3 linked regions of the Nothobranchius furzeri genome follow. The protein of the gene in region 2 interacts with the protein of the main gene of each other region in a pairwise test. Links are inferred from orthologs where the notes say so. Each region holds a gene or a part of one and is shown on either strand. Other genes may lie near its edges.

Region 1 (4,484 bases), on a different chromosome or scaffold from region 2:
GAGAAACTGTTGCTTAAAGGAAACAAAGGTTTGAAAATGTTGGACCAAAAACTGTGAAATAATACAAAGATCTATTTCCTCAGTTATTTATATTTATCATCAACAATTTCTACAGCATTAAAAAAAATAAAGACGATAAAGATTATAGGCTAAAGGGAATTTATTTTCCCCCCTTCTCTGGCAGCTGTTCATCACTTCACCTGCTTCCTGGCCTCATTAGGTAACATTGTTGCACTGAGGGACCCTTCTGGCCACTTACAGAAGAAAGCAGGTCACATTCTCTTCTTCCTGCTCGACTTTAGACGAAGAAAAAGTCAAGAGAAGATTTGCTGAAGTGCTCTGATGTAGCCGGCCCAGCGGTTGTCAAGGTAATGAGTCAAAAGGGTTTTGTAATGCAGCCTCCGTTTGTCATTCTGAAGTTCAGATTAGGTTTGCACTCACCGAACCCCCCCCCCCCCCGTCCTTCTTGTATTCATCGTCGTGCTCCTCTTCATCTACTCCGTCTATCTGTCTCTCCAAGCAGCCGGATGTCAAATAACCTGAAACTAGTTCACAATCATCAGAATCAAAATCTTGTAACTCCTTTTCTTCTTCTACAGCGGTTTGCATCCTCCACGATGATGACAGGATGAATGCTATCATTACCCACAAATGCTGAAAGGATGAATTCATGTATTACTCTACTGTGAAATGAGAAGGTAGCTTTATATAACTGATGATTATTTATCAGACCAGTGATTAAATCCTTTCTGAGAAATGTTAGCTCTGGTCCATGAACTATTTGATTGGCTTCTGCGTGGATCCATAACCAGTTCGAATTAAATCTTTATTTAATTTGTTACCAACAGCCTCGCAAACACTGAAAGCTTGAGCCACAGATGATCAGCAGGGTCTCTCATGTCAGACCTTTGCTGATTTGTCTTCCTGTTTATCTTTAAATAAAACTTTCAGAATGTGTTCATTTATTGTCTCCTCCTATACTTCCTTCATTTTAAGCATTGCAGATATGGATGCAGGACGGAAAACCTGTAACTCTAAAAATGAATCCAATGTTTTAAATTATTCTCGAGTTTATTAGCAGTTATGTCGTTACGTAACTAGATCCCAACAGGAATCGGGAGGAATGTTGATAGTTCAGTCCTACATCTTGTTTATTTAGAGCTCAAAGCATGCTGTGAGCATGTGATTTTATCTTCTGTCTTTATTGCCGACCTCCCCAACATGCTCTTCTGTTTGGACCGGTCCTCCTGCCGCGGCTGCGAGAGTGTGTGTGGTCAGGTTGAATTTGTGGCCAGACTCTGTTGCACAAAATTCCTTTTCATTCGCTTGGAACAGAAAGAAAGAGGGCGAACAAAAACGGGGCGAACGTAAGCGTGAAAGAGTGAGCCCAAGGGGAGAAAAGGGGGAGACGAGAGGGTAAAAAAAAAAATCCAGGAGACATTTGTAGTTGAGTGGAGGAGCACAGACAATCCCTGGCGCATGTAAACCTCCCCTTTGCCATCTCTTTTTGTTCCATTCACTGCCTGCCACCCTCCTCTCTCACTGCCCCAGCCTGTGGCCTCTCTGCTGGACTTGGGGTGGGGGGGTTTCTCCCTATATAAAAGCCCTGTTTGTCCCCTGAATGAGCTTATTCCCTATCATGGACAGCCTTAGAGCACAGTCCTCATACAGGAGACGTTTTGGGCCGCAGAGCTCAAGCAGCTCAGGAGGTAAAATAGGTGGACTATCTTCCCACCGCCTCTCCTGGCATGGCGCCCCTCGAAGCATCACCCACTCCAGCCCCGTCTCCCGGGTCTCCCTGGGCTCCTCCAGCACGGCCTTGCTGCTGGGCAGCCCCGTTGACCGGCTGGACTTCTCAGCTGACTCCTTGTTGAAGGCCCAGTACAAAGAAACTCGTACCAACGAGAAGATGGAGATGATGGGCCTGAACGACCGCTTTGCCAGCTACATAGAGAAGGTGCGGCTTTTGGAGCAGCAGAACAAAGTTCTGGTGGCAGAACTGAACCAGCTGAAGGGGAAGGAGCCTAGCCGCCTGGGGGACATCTACCAGATGGAGCTGAGAGATCTACGACGGCAGGTGGACGATCTCACCAATGGCAAGGCTCGTCTGGAGATAGAGAGGGACAACCTGTCTGCAGACCTGGGCACGCTCAAGCAGAGGTAGGAGAGAACGGTCCCAAAGTAGACCTGGGCCTTTGTGTGTCTTGTGTGCTCGCTGTCCTATTGATGCTTCACAGAAATAATGATGGGATTAAAACTTTTCCCCTAGTCTTTTCTTCCCATCAGCTTATAAATCCAGGAGAAAACCGGAACAGCCCCCAAAAAAGTCTCAGTGCTTCAAACTACATAAAGAGGAGTAATTTGACCTTGTGAAGAATGTTTTTGTTAATTCCTGTAAATACACCTGTCATGTCTGTATTTACGTAGCGCTTCTGTTTACATGTGTTTGTGGTTGGTTGGAATGCAGAGCGCTGTGGTCTGCCTGGGCTTTACTCCTCTATCCCTCTTTACAAACGTGATCCTGACTGAACCCTCGCTGCCATTCAGTCAGTGTGGAGGAATGAAGCAGCACAATGGTGGCGCTCCACAAAGGGAACAGAATGCCAGGCAGATGTAGCTTTCCTCTCTTTCTCCAAAGCACAAAGTCACCACCGCTGGTTATCCGGCTCCTTTTCTCCACATCCACCATCACGCCTCATGTCAGCTTTTTCATTTTGAGACAGGCCAATAGAAAGTCTCAGGGTGGAAACTGGAGGGTTTTTTTTTTTTTTGCCCTCTGACCAAGCAGCTGCTGGTCCTGTGAGAGATTGCAGGATGAATAGGGATGCTGCTGCTTCAGGGGTTAAAGGTCACCTTTTTTAAAATTCGTGCTGCTCTTTCTGTTAGCAACCTCTGCATGAAGCTGCATGATGTCACTCTACGTTTCATTTGCTTCTAGTGGGTAGGATCAGTCTGTGTGCTGCGCTGACACGGATTCTCTCTCTCTCTGTGTGTGTGTGTGTGTGTGTGTGTGTGTGTGTGTGTGTGTGTGTGTGTGTGTGTTCCATCCCGTGGGAAAGGTCTCCTCCGGCTGTTAGATTAGACTGGAAGTGTAATGATGCGTAAGCCGCTGCTCTTTCAGCTGAGTCCTGCCACTCCTCTGCAGCTCAGTAGAAGACAAAACAAAAATCTGAACACATTTTTAAAATACGTTTAATTTTTCTTAATTAAACTTTAGCTAACTAAACTTTGCGCAGGAGTTTGTTTTTTCTGACCCAAGGACCCCAGACATTGTGCTCTCATTTGTGATATATATATATATATATATATATATATATATATATATATATATATATATATATATATATATATATATATATATATATATATATACATATATACATATCAAATGTTTCAGAAATATTTTAGTGTAATTTAATTCCTCCTGGCTGGGAACTCTCAGTAAGAAGCTCTTCACATTTTTCTTGACTCAGGCTGCAGGATGAAATGGGCCTCCGACAGGAAGCAGAGAACAGCTTGAACGCCTTCAGACAGGTGGAAATATTAGTAATATTAAAAAATCTTTAAAATATTGACAATCTCAATGTTGTTTGCTGTCATCCTGCGATGTTTCTCATTATTCACACAGGATGTGGATGAAGCAGCGCTCAGTCGGGTCCAGTTGGAGAGAAAGATCGAGGCCCTGCAGGATGAAATTAATTTCCTGAAGAAAATTCATGAAGAAGTATGAAGAAACGCTGAAGTTGGTCCAAAACAACTAGACAGATTTTAGCAAAATCACGACTTTTGCCACGTTTTTCTTCCAGGAGCTGCGTGAGCTGCAGGAGCAGATCATGGCCCAACAGGTCCACGTTGACGTGGATGTGTCAAAACCAGATTTAACTGCTGCTCTGAGAGACATCAGAGTTCAGTACGAGAATATGGCCACTTCAAACCTGCAGGAGACAGAGGACTGGTACCGATCCAAGGTCAAATATTTTACTTTTAAAGGAGGGATTTACTCATTTATTCAATACTTGTGCAGTGTTCTTTAGTGTAATTCAATGCCTTATGAGCCATAAAAAAAAATAAAGCTATGATGCTCCTGTTATGAGATGCAGATGTTTTCTGGTGCAGAGATGGACTGAAAACAGTAGAATTACTCATTACTATTATTGAATTGCACACGTCTTGCTTCTGATTGGCTAACAGAACATGTTCAGCCATGTCACTGTCACCAAAACACCCTCCGCTCGCTCTCCCTGCTGCAAAAAAAACAAGCCTTCCTGTGGACGGGCGCTTGCCAAGATGGGCGAGACCATGAATGCAAATTCATAGTGTGACATAGATGTGTGAGGATTTTAAAATCCTAGAGTTTCACCATCTATTTTCTATCAGAAGGTAATGCAGGAGATAGGTGTAGGAGACTATTTTCATGTTCACCCTGCATAAAAAACTCAAACTCAACTTTTAACTCATTCACTACCAATGACGACTAAAGTCAC
Region 2 (4,195 bases):
ACAGTGATGATCACAAAAGATAAAAAAATAAATAAAAAATAAACCAGAAAATGAGGAGGCAACAAGACGACAACTCAAACCCAGACCAGATGTCAAGCCTGCGTAATTATGGATGTCATTAATATTCATATTTCAGCTCTAAACTACCACAAAACTCTACATAATTAAAGCAATTGTTGGAATTATTTTGTTCAATCTGCTTTTAGTGCATGCTCGCATTTTGTAAAGAACAATAAAAGAAAAACTTTCTCCTTTTCTCAAAGACTCACACGAGTCTCGATGTTTTAAAGGCTAAATACAATACCGTTAACATCTGTACACCCGCAGATAAACAAAATCCATCTCATCACAGTTGAGGGTAGGGACGCCAACTTCCTCTCCTTTGCCGAATGGTGAGGAAGCACGTGGAAAGAATAATGGTAGGTCAAAACAAACCAGCTAACAGGTGTCCTTTTCCTTCTTGATAGTTGCAACATAGTCAAAGTTTGAGTGAGAGTACGTTCCACACAGCGTCCAGCCATACTCACGTCTGTCGTGGAGTCTGGCGATGACGATCCCGCTGCCTCCTCTGGCCGTCAGCACGAAGCCAGCCTTGATGACGGAGATGATGGCCAAACCTTCAGCCTTTGCGATGACATGAGCTACAACAGAACAAGTCTGCCTTTGAAAGATTGTTTATAAGAGGTCAAAGTTTACTCGGTTAGTAGAGTACAGCTCCTTACGGGGGATGAGTTTGTCCGGGCCAACCCTGTTGGTGATCTGGGTGAATTCCCTTAAGATCTTGGCTGCTTTCTTGGCCTCAGACTTCAGGTTGGATGGGATGGGGTTACTCACTGAAACCAGGAAACATGTTTGTGTTTAAAAGTTGTCTTTACCTCTGAGACCCAAAGACTCTACAGCTAAATAAAATTGAGGAGAAGTGTTAATTCTGATGGGTGACTCATGTTTGGGTTCTTTGTTCTCTTTATTAAAGAGCAAGTCACCCCCAAATCACATTTTTTTTGCTGATAAACTATATAAACGAGTGTCTAATCATGCTACAGGCACGTGTAGTCAATAATTTGGCAGTTCAGTGCATCTTGGTTAAAATTCAAATATTCTGCCTAAAACTGTCAGTGTTGCACCGTCGTCAGGGAAAAATTCTGCACTGTATTTGAATTTAAACCTGCCACCGCTATTGGCTAAGAGGTATGCTATGATGTCATCTGGTATATTATGATGTCATAATTCCATTGTGAGCCTGTGTGTGTTTGTATTTGTTAGCGGCTCCGCCCTCTCGGTCTGCCAAGCAACAGCATTTGTTGCATTTTTCAAACATGAAGTGGGAGTGAAGTACGTTTCTTGTAGGGGGTGACTTGCTCTTTAACAATAAAATAATCAAAATATCAATTTTAATTCCCTGAAAAAACTTAGCATCAGCTATAATAAATATGGCTGATTTGTTGAATGTTACCATGGCGTTCTCCTGTCTGTAATCTGTTTTAAAGACAACCTGTGATGAATGGGAGAGTTGAGTGTTGGTTTGGGAGTGAGTGAGCAGAGATGATCCAACCTGCTGCTGTAGCACATTCCTGTCACGGCGACACATCCACGTCCTCCACAGGAACAAGGGGATTCAGCTGTCATCACTAAACCACCGACTTGGTTTAAGTTTGTTTTTATGCCATTTGTAATCGATTTATATCAGAGCGTGTCAAAATTTAACCTTATTGAAAAAGGAAATCTAAATTATACGGTTTAAGTTTGAATTGAAAGGGTCTTCATGTCCAAGAGGAATGGAGCCCAGCTGATCTGATCTAATGTTGGATCTCATGATCCAGAGGATCTGTCATCAGATTTGAAATCATGTTAAATGACTCCACTAGTAACATTGTGTAGGTCAGTGGTAGACTACTTCTTTCCTTGAGACTCGGTGTTCAGCATGTTTTAGTCGTTTCCCTGCTCCAACAAGGTTGATCTACCTGCTCAGTAGCTCACCAAGCTCTGCAGAAGCCTGATAGGCCTGCTGATTTAAACCAGGTGTGTTGTAGCAGGTCTAACGAAAACATGCTACATACCGGCCCTGGGGGAGGGAGTTTACACCTGACATAGTTGGTGTTTGTTGATGCTGGGCAGCAGCAGCAGCCATCTTGAATCAGGAGAACCCCCTCCTGTAACTCAGGACGACCTTTTTACACCTTCAGACATGAAGCATGATGCCGATTCTGTAAAGGGTTTGTTGTTAAACGATTTACGAATAAAAATGATAAGTAAATAAAACATACAAATCATTTTATGCCTGATCTGGTGTTCTAGGTGCATCCTGCTGTGTGAAAAGTAACATCTGACCCCTTAAAGAACCCAAACCTCGTTATTTAGGCCTAAACACCCTTAAATCAGTGTACTCTGACACTTTAGGGCCAGGAGTGGGGAACCCTGGTCCTCGAGGGCCGGTATCCTGCATGTCTTTGCTCCAACCCTTCTGATTCAGGGGTTGATTCACATGTTCTGCAGCTTTTCAGGCTCCGCGGAAGCTTGTTAATCACCTGCTGATTGAAATCAGGTGGGATGATGCTGGGTTGAAATTAAAATATGCTGGATAGCGGCCCACGATGGACCAGGGTTCCCCACACCTGCTTTAGGTTCATTCTGCTGGTTAACGTGAGTTATTCCAGCAGGCCTGACCACACTCGCAGGTGTAATGGAGAACAGGTGGAACCTGAAATCAGAGCCACCGGACACCGAGCGAAACCACCAGAACACAAAGAAAGAACCAGCTTCAGGTTTGAATGTGTCGCACTTTCAGGTTTAACTTACTTTTCTTTCTTCGGTGGTCGTTTACCTGCCGACAGGTGAGCTTCTCGCTGCTTTTCACTTCCGCCTCACCTGACAACAGCAGCCGGAAATCACGCAACTGTCCACAGGTGTGCACGTAAAGCTGACAAGTGCCGCGCGCGCATGCTCACGTAGCTGGTGGAGTGTTGATTTTCTGTCAGCTGGGCGCGTTCCCGAGTCTGTTTGCGGGTTCCTGTCAGAGTTGTTTTTTCCTGAGTTCAGTCTGACAGGCGCACGGATCACACCCAACCTTTCTTTTATAATCGATTCATTATCTGAACCGCTTCATGCTCAGTAGGGATGCAGGCGGCTGTCCACGGTGTCTATCTCCAGCAGTCATCAGCTGAGCGGTGGGGGACACTCTGGACAGGTCTCCCGTCCATCACAGAGACCGACACACACTCACTGTGTGTTAAACTAACATTAAAACAGCTTTAATAAACTGTTAAAATACGACTTTAAGGAAACTTTTATCAACATTAATTAATATTTTACTGTCATTTAAAAGCTGTTTAGTACCTGAACGAATCTGAAAAACAGTAAACTAATAAGATGTGAGTTTTCAGGACCTTACTCCCATGTTTTAATCATTTCTACCAGCTCCTCTCCTTGAATAGCTTCCCTAGATAAACATCTGACCGCAGCCATCAGTCTCTCTGATGTGTTTCCATTCATGTGAGACCACCCAGACTCCAGAACCAGGGTGATGGTGTAGAAACAGACACGCAGAGCCAGGGTGGGACATGCTCTCTGAAAAGCTGGGTCTTTTCTTGACCGGGATGACCCCATATAGCGCTTGGTAGGCCATTGTCTTCTAAATCAGAGCCTGTTTATCTTCCAGTCTTCTCTGACTCCTGAAGTCCACCTGACTAACCCGGGTCTCCGAGTATGCTGGTCTATCACAAGTCCACATTGTCCTCCAGTGTATACCAGTTCCAAAAGGCCCCCCTTTCAAGATCTCCACCTCATAATTAACTATAGAACTTCAGGAACATATTTGAACCAGTCCAGACGAGTTGGCATCTCTTCTGTCTGAGGTACTTATATTCTCTGTAATATGTTTATGTTTGAGTTTGTAGTTGAAGCTATATGTAGAGTGTTTGACCCGTTGTGGTTCTGGTGTATGGTTTTATCTCTTTCTTATTCACATCTTTGCTTCTTTTTGTTATATTTGAGTTTCTTATGTGTTTAAGACCAGAAGAACCTTAGCCTGGCCAGCCTCTGTGCAGAATTAAACAGAGAGAGTCTGGCTGGCCAGGCTAGAAGAACCTGTCAGTCCAAATAAACCCATCCTTTGCAATCTGCAGACGTACATCATCTGGTTCAGCCCATCCCGCATTGATCCGTTTCTTTAGAACATCTCTGGTTCTGGTGGAACACT
Region 3 (4,329 bases), on a different chromosome or scaffold from region 2:
TGTATTAACTTAATATTGTGTTCCGCGTGACCATGGCAACGTGCTTAGCAACAACAATTAATAACATTTTAGACACAACTGTAACAAATGTTATTCAAAGTTTAAAAGAGTCATGTGACATTGTACATTGCTTTATTAAAGCAGACTCCTGTCATCTGTTACCATGGCAACACAAGGAACTACTAATCACTTTAACCAAGTCTCATAGGAATGAATATAAAAAGCTGAATATTGAGCCATTAACAGACTCCTGTTTTTGATCTTTTTGAACTGTCTGTACTTAAAACTAGAAACAAGTTCAATTTGATTGGCCATCATAAGGTGGGAAAGTGCCCCACTCCCTTCCAGCTCCCTGATTGGTTGAGAGAGGTCTGTCATCTTCTGGCTAAATGGAATTACACACCCATGCATGTGATACATCAAATCGATTGGCTTGGCCTAAGGAATCCATCCATCCACATATAAATCCATACATGCTTCCAACCATCCATCCATCCATCCATCCATCCATCCATCCATCCAATAAACCATCTAACATCCATCCAACAATCCATTTGTTATTTCATTCATCCAACCATTCATCCATCCCATATCAAATCTGAACACATGTTAATCTATCAGTTTCAGATATCAGCAAATATTTCTAAATTCACAGTTCAGCCAATTGTAAAAATGTACCCGTTAAACTATTCTCATTCAAATGCCAGCTGTTTAACGTTTCAAATTTTGAGTTTTTAATAAATGTTCAAAGATTAAAGTTTTCTGCTGTTTAGCATTTTTTTATCCATTCTTCACCTATATTCTGAGCTTTATTACACTTGTTGGTGATTTTTGCTTCTAAATCTTGAAATACATTCAGCTCATTTTGACAGTTTAGCTTTGTTTCAGCTTCAGTTCAGCTGTTCAACAGCTTCAGCAATCAGTTTCTGAATTCAGCATATGATGCTAATTTCACAGTTCAGCTAAATGTAAAAATTAAACTGTTAAACTAGTGCTACTGAAATAACAGGTGTTTAGACGTTTTAGCTGTCCAGTTTTTTAAACAATGTTCAGAGATTTCAGTTTTCTGCTGTTTAGGATTGTTTTCTTGATTCTTCACTTACTTTTTGTGCTTTATTTGCTTCTTGGTGCTTTTTGCTTTCACATATTTCACTACATTCAGCTCATTTACCAGTGTAGCTTAGTTTCAGCTTCAGTTCAGCTGTTCAACAACTTCAACAATCAGTTACCAAATTTAGCATGAGCTGCTAATTTCACAGTTCAGCTAAATGCAAAGATTAAACTGTTAAACGTGTACAACTGAAATAACAGGTGTTTAGACCTCGACAGACTGGTACATCACCTGCATCACTGCAGATGCAGCACCAATCGACCTGTCGATCTCACATCTCCAGCTTTCCCTCACTCGTGAACAAGACCCCGAGATACTTAAACTCCTCCACTTGAGGCATGACCTCGTCTCTGACCTCTTTAAAAACGCTGGTCCAAGCAGTGAAGTCGTGTGACTTAATGACTTTGTCCTTTTGCAATTCAAGCTGTTGCTTTAATAATTACTCATCATGTCTAAAACAACAAAGGACGAGACTTAACCTGAACAGTGACGAAGCAGCGCTGATACTTCCTGAACAGCCACATTCCAGCTCCTCAGATTGGTCGAGTAAGCACAAGAGGAGAGAAATGTAATAAGGCCGTCCCTTTTTTCTTTGTGTGTGTGTGTGTGTGTGTGTGTGGGGGGTGGGGTGGGGGGGGTTGTTACAGCTGCTTTCAGGTTTTTGTTAATCACACTTAAAGGAGCCACGAGGAAGAGCTCTTGAAGGGAACAAGGTTTACCCACCATGGATTTTCTTATCTTCAAACTTCTACACAGGTAGGAGATGGGAGAGTTTTATCGGTATGGTGTTGGAGTCGGGGTTGAATGTTAGCTCTGATCAGGCTGCAGCTGATCACACAAGTCTGCTTGTTTTTATCAGACTGTGTGTGTACAGGAAAAGGGTTTCACGTGTCAAATCTCATCAAAGGTGGTCAAAACAGGGCTCTTGTGTCAGCTCTGGCCTAAACAAGCTGTTAAACTTTAACCAGCAGAACCATCGCTCTAACAGGCAACAGGTGTGACAGGTGGATTTCTGACGTCATCGTTTCAGGCTGCAGGTAGAAACAACAATGCTGCTTTGATCTCCCAGTATTCCATAAAAATGTGAAGACCCTCAAATCCATGTTGGACATAGATTATTAGTCACTTTGCTTCTTTTGATTATAATACAAGGAAATCAGGTCACTGCCAAATATTCCATGAAATAATGTGAATGTACAGAATGTGTTTCAAATCCTCCTTGAAAGTCATCTGACTGGTTGGTCCTGCTGGTTTCTGAGCTGCTGTTGACGTTCTGGTTTGGACTGGAAGCAGTCCGGTAGAATGGGTTGTGACCGAAACCAGCTGCTGCTGGGTGTTGGTTTTAGTTGCACCCTTAGAAAGTACCTGATGTGTGTGATAGAGCTTTGGTCACTGATTTCAATAATGAGTGATGAATTTGACTCAAAAGTTGTGTTGAAACCATAAAAAGTCACATCCTCTGAGAGTCAGAGTTGGAATTTAAAGCTTGTCATATTTGCGTTGTGTATTCTGGGGGAACCTGCAGCTCATCTGAAGAGGCTAGTGGCATGCATCTGTCTCAGTTTTAGATTTAAAGTAACTCCAGGAAAAAGGTGGTTCAGCAGTCTAAATCTTTGCTAAGGGTGCATGGGATTTCTGCTGCAGAATGACAGAATTATATGAGGTTGGGCTGACTGAGTCAGCTTTATTCAGCTGACTCCTAAACCTGTAAGTTACTGAGGACCTGTGTGATTTCAGCACCATAAATAGATAAATCTGCTTGAGAAATCTGTTTCAGTTAATGGTGTGTTAGCTAACACTAGCATGTTTACGGCTGTTTTCTGGGTGATTTCATTCCAACTCTTCAGGGAAATGAACATTTATTTTCACTAAACTAAAAATAATTCCAATTCAGATGGATCAGAGGGGTTCTGGGTCTGTTTTTCTGCCATTAGGACAGGTGGTTGAGCAGAACCTGTCCAAGGACGGCTCGGAGACGGTTTCTTTGTCCTGCAGAAATGCCTGAAGCTGTAATCCAGAGAGGTCAAAAGGACAGTTTAGAGTAAATAAAGTAGGGCTGGAAATGCAACATGTCAGTTCCCATATGTATTCATTGTATGTTTATTTATTTTTATTTTAGAAGTTTCCAGATTTTCTTATTGAAACAAGGCAAATGAGTTGAAACCACCACAACCATTCTTCATCATATTTAACAGAAACCTTGCTCAGCAGACACAACCCAGGAAGTCATGCTGAAACTCTGACTTTAAAAGTGAAATGAAGCCTTAATAATAATTTTGTTGAAAAAACTGCTTTTCTTTTTATTTTCTCCTTGCAGATGTTCCTGAAAAACCTTCAGACTACCTTTAGACTTCAGGTAAGAGCTTTCGCCTTCTCTTTGTCACAGAACAGCACCATTATTGCATTTACACTGTTTTCATTCATGTTTCCCAATCCTTGTAAATACTCTGCTGCCATTTTTTAAACCACACAGTATTTTCATATTTCAATTGATAGGTAATTATTAATTTACCCCATATTACCTTAAAGGACGACACACACACAGAGAGAGAGAGAGTAGATTGATTATTCGTAATGTCCATGAGCGCAAATCAACGTGCGAGAAGCTGGATGCAGAAATCCCCTCCATGGAGCTAACCAGCCCCCACTCTGCTCCAGCCTCAGCTCACCAGCTCTGCATGCCCACATCCTCCACCAAAATATTAGGTAATCAAATGTGGGGTAATATTTAATCTCCATACCCCTGGAACCTGAAATAAACACACATGACAAAAAGGGAGATATATTACCCTGAGTCCCCAAAATAATGGAGAGTTAATGCAGAGGAACCCCCTCCGAGGCTGACCCCACGTCACTCCCCTGTGTCCTCAGTTTCCCAGTGGCTTTATTCAGCAAAGGATGGAGAAGGCGGGGCCTTCTCAGGTTACAGAGGTACAGAGTCCCATCACCCCCCCCCCCCCCACACACACACAAAGGAAGATTCACAAACCAAGCAAAATGAACATTTAATAAAAATGCCTAACATCAATGTTTTTGATTTTATTTTTATGGAGACACATCATGCAAAACTCACTTTTTACGTGTGCTGTCACGTGGGTTTCTGCCTCTATAAATGCTCTAAATGTGAAAACATCTGTCTATCCGTTTGTCTGTCAGTGTTTGGTTTTAGGAATTATGTATCTAAAACGAGCCATTACAAAAAGTCTCCATTTGTGATG

What was found.
Region 1: the proteins of sh3yl1 (region 2) and gfap interact in binary tests that used the Homo sapiens proteins (3 or more experiments, as listed by UniProt). The two-hybrid records come from large-scale screens. The link is inferred for Nothobranchius furzeri from reciprocal best matches to the Homo sapiens genes SH3YL1 and GFAP.
Region 3: the proteins of sh3yl1 (region 2) and sh3d19 interact in binary tests that used the Homo sapiens proteins (3 or more experiments, as listed by UniProt). The link is inferred for Nothobranchius furzeri from reciprocal best matches to the Homo sapiens genes SH3YL1 and SH3D19.

Annotation. Positions count from the first base shown.
Region 1 is NC_091745.1:10,095,717-10,100,200, forward strand, and holds the start of gfap (glial fibrillary acidic protein), read left to right. Parts: upstream 1-1,604; 5' UTR 1,605-1,621; coding exon 1,622-2,160; intron 2,161-3,473; coding exon 3,474-3,534; intron 3,535-3,628; coding exon 3,629-3,724; intron 3,725-3,806; coding exon 3,807-3,968; intron 3,969-4,484.
Region 2 is NC_091743.1:82,703,586-82,707,780, forward strand, and holds the start of sh3yl1 (SH3 domain-containing YSC84-like protein 1), read right to left. Parts: upstream 2,939-4,195; 5' UTR 2,798-2,938; coding exon 2,797-2,797; intron 834-2,796; coding exon 723-833; intron 642-722; coding exon 528-641; intron 1-527.
Region 3 is NC_091747.1:80,371,576-80,375,904, reverse strand, and holds the start of sh3d19 (SH3 domain-containing protein 19), read left to right. Parts: upstream 1-1,449; coding exon 1,450-1,491; intron 1,492-1,791; coding exon 1,792-1,867; intron 1,868-3,045; coding exon 3,046-3,089; intron 3,090-3,428; coding exon 3,429-3,467; intron 3,468-3,717; coding exon 3,718-3,817; intron 3,818-3,982; coding exon 3,983-4,042; intron 4,043-4,329. UniProt on the Homo sapiens protein: May play a role in regulating A disintegrin and metalloproteases (ADAMs) in the signaling of EGFR-ligand shedding. May be involved in suppression of Ras-induced cellular transformation and Ras-mediated activation of ELK1.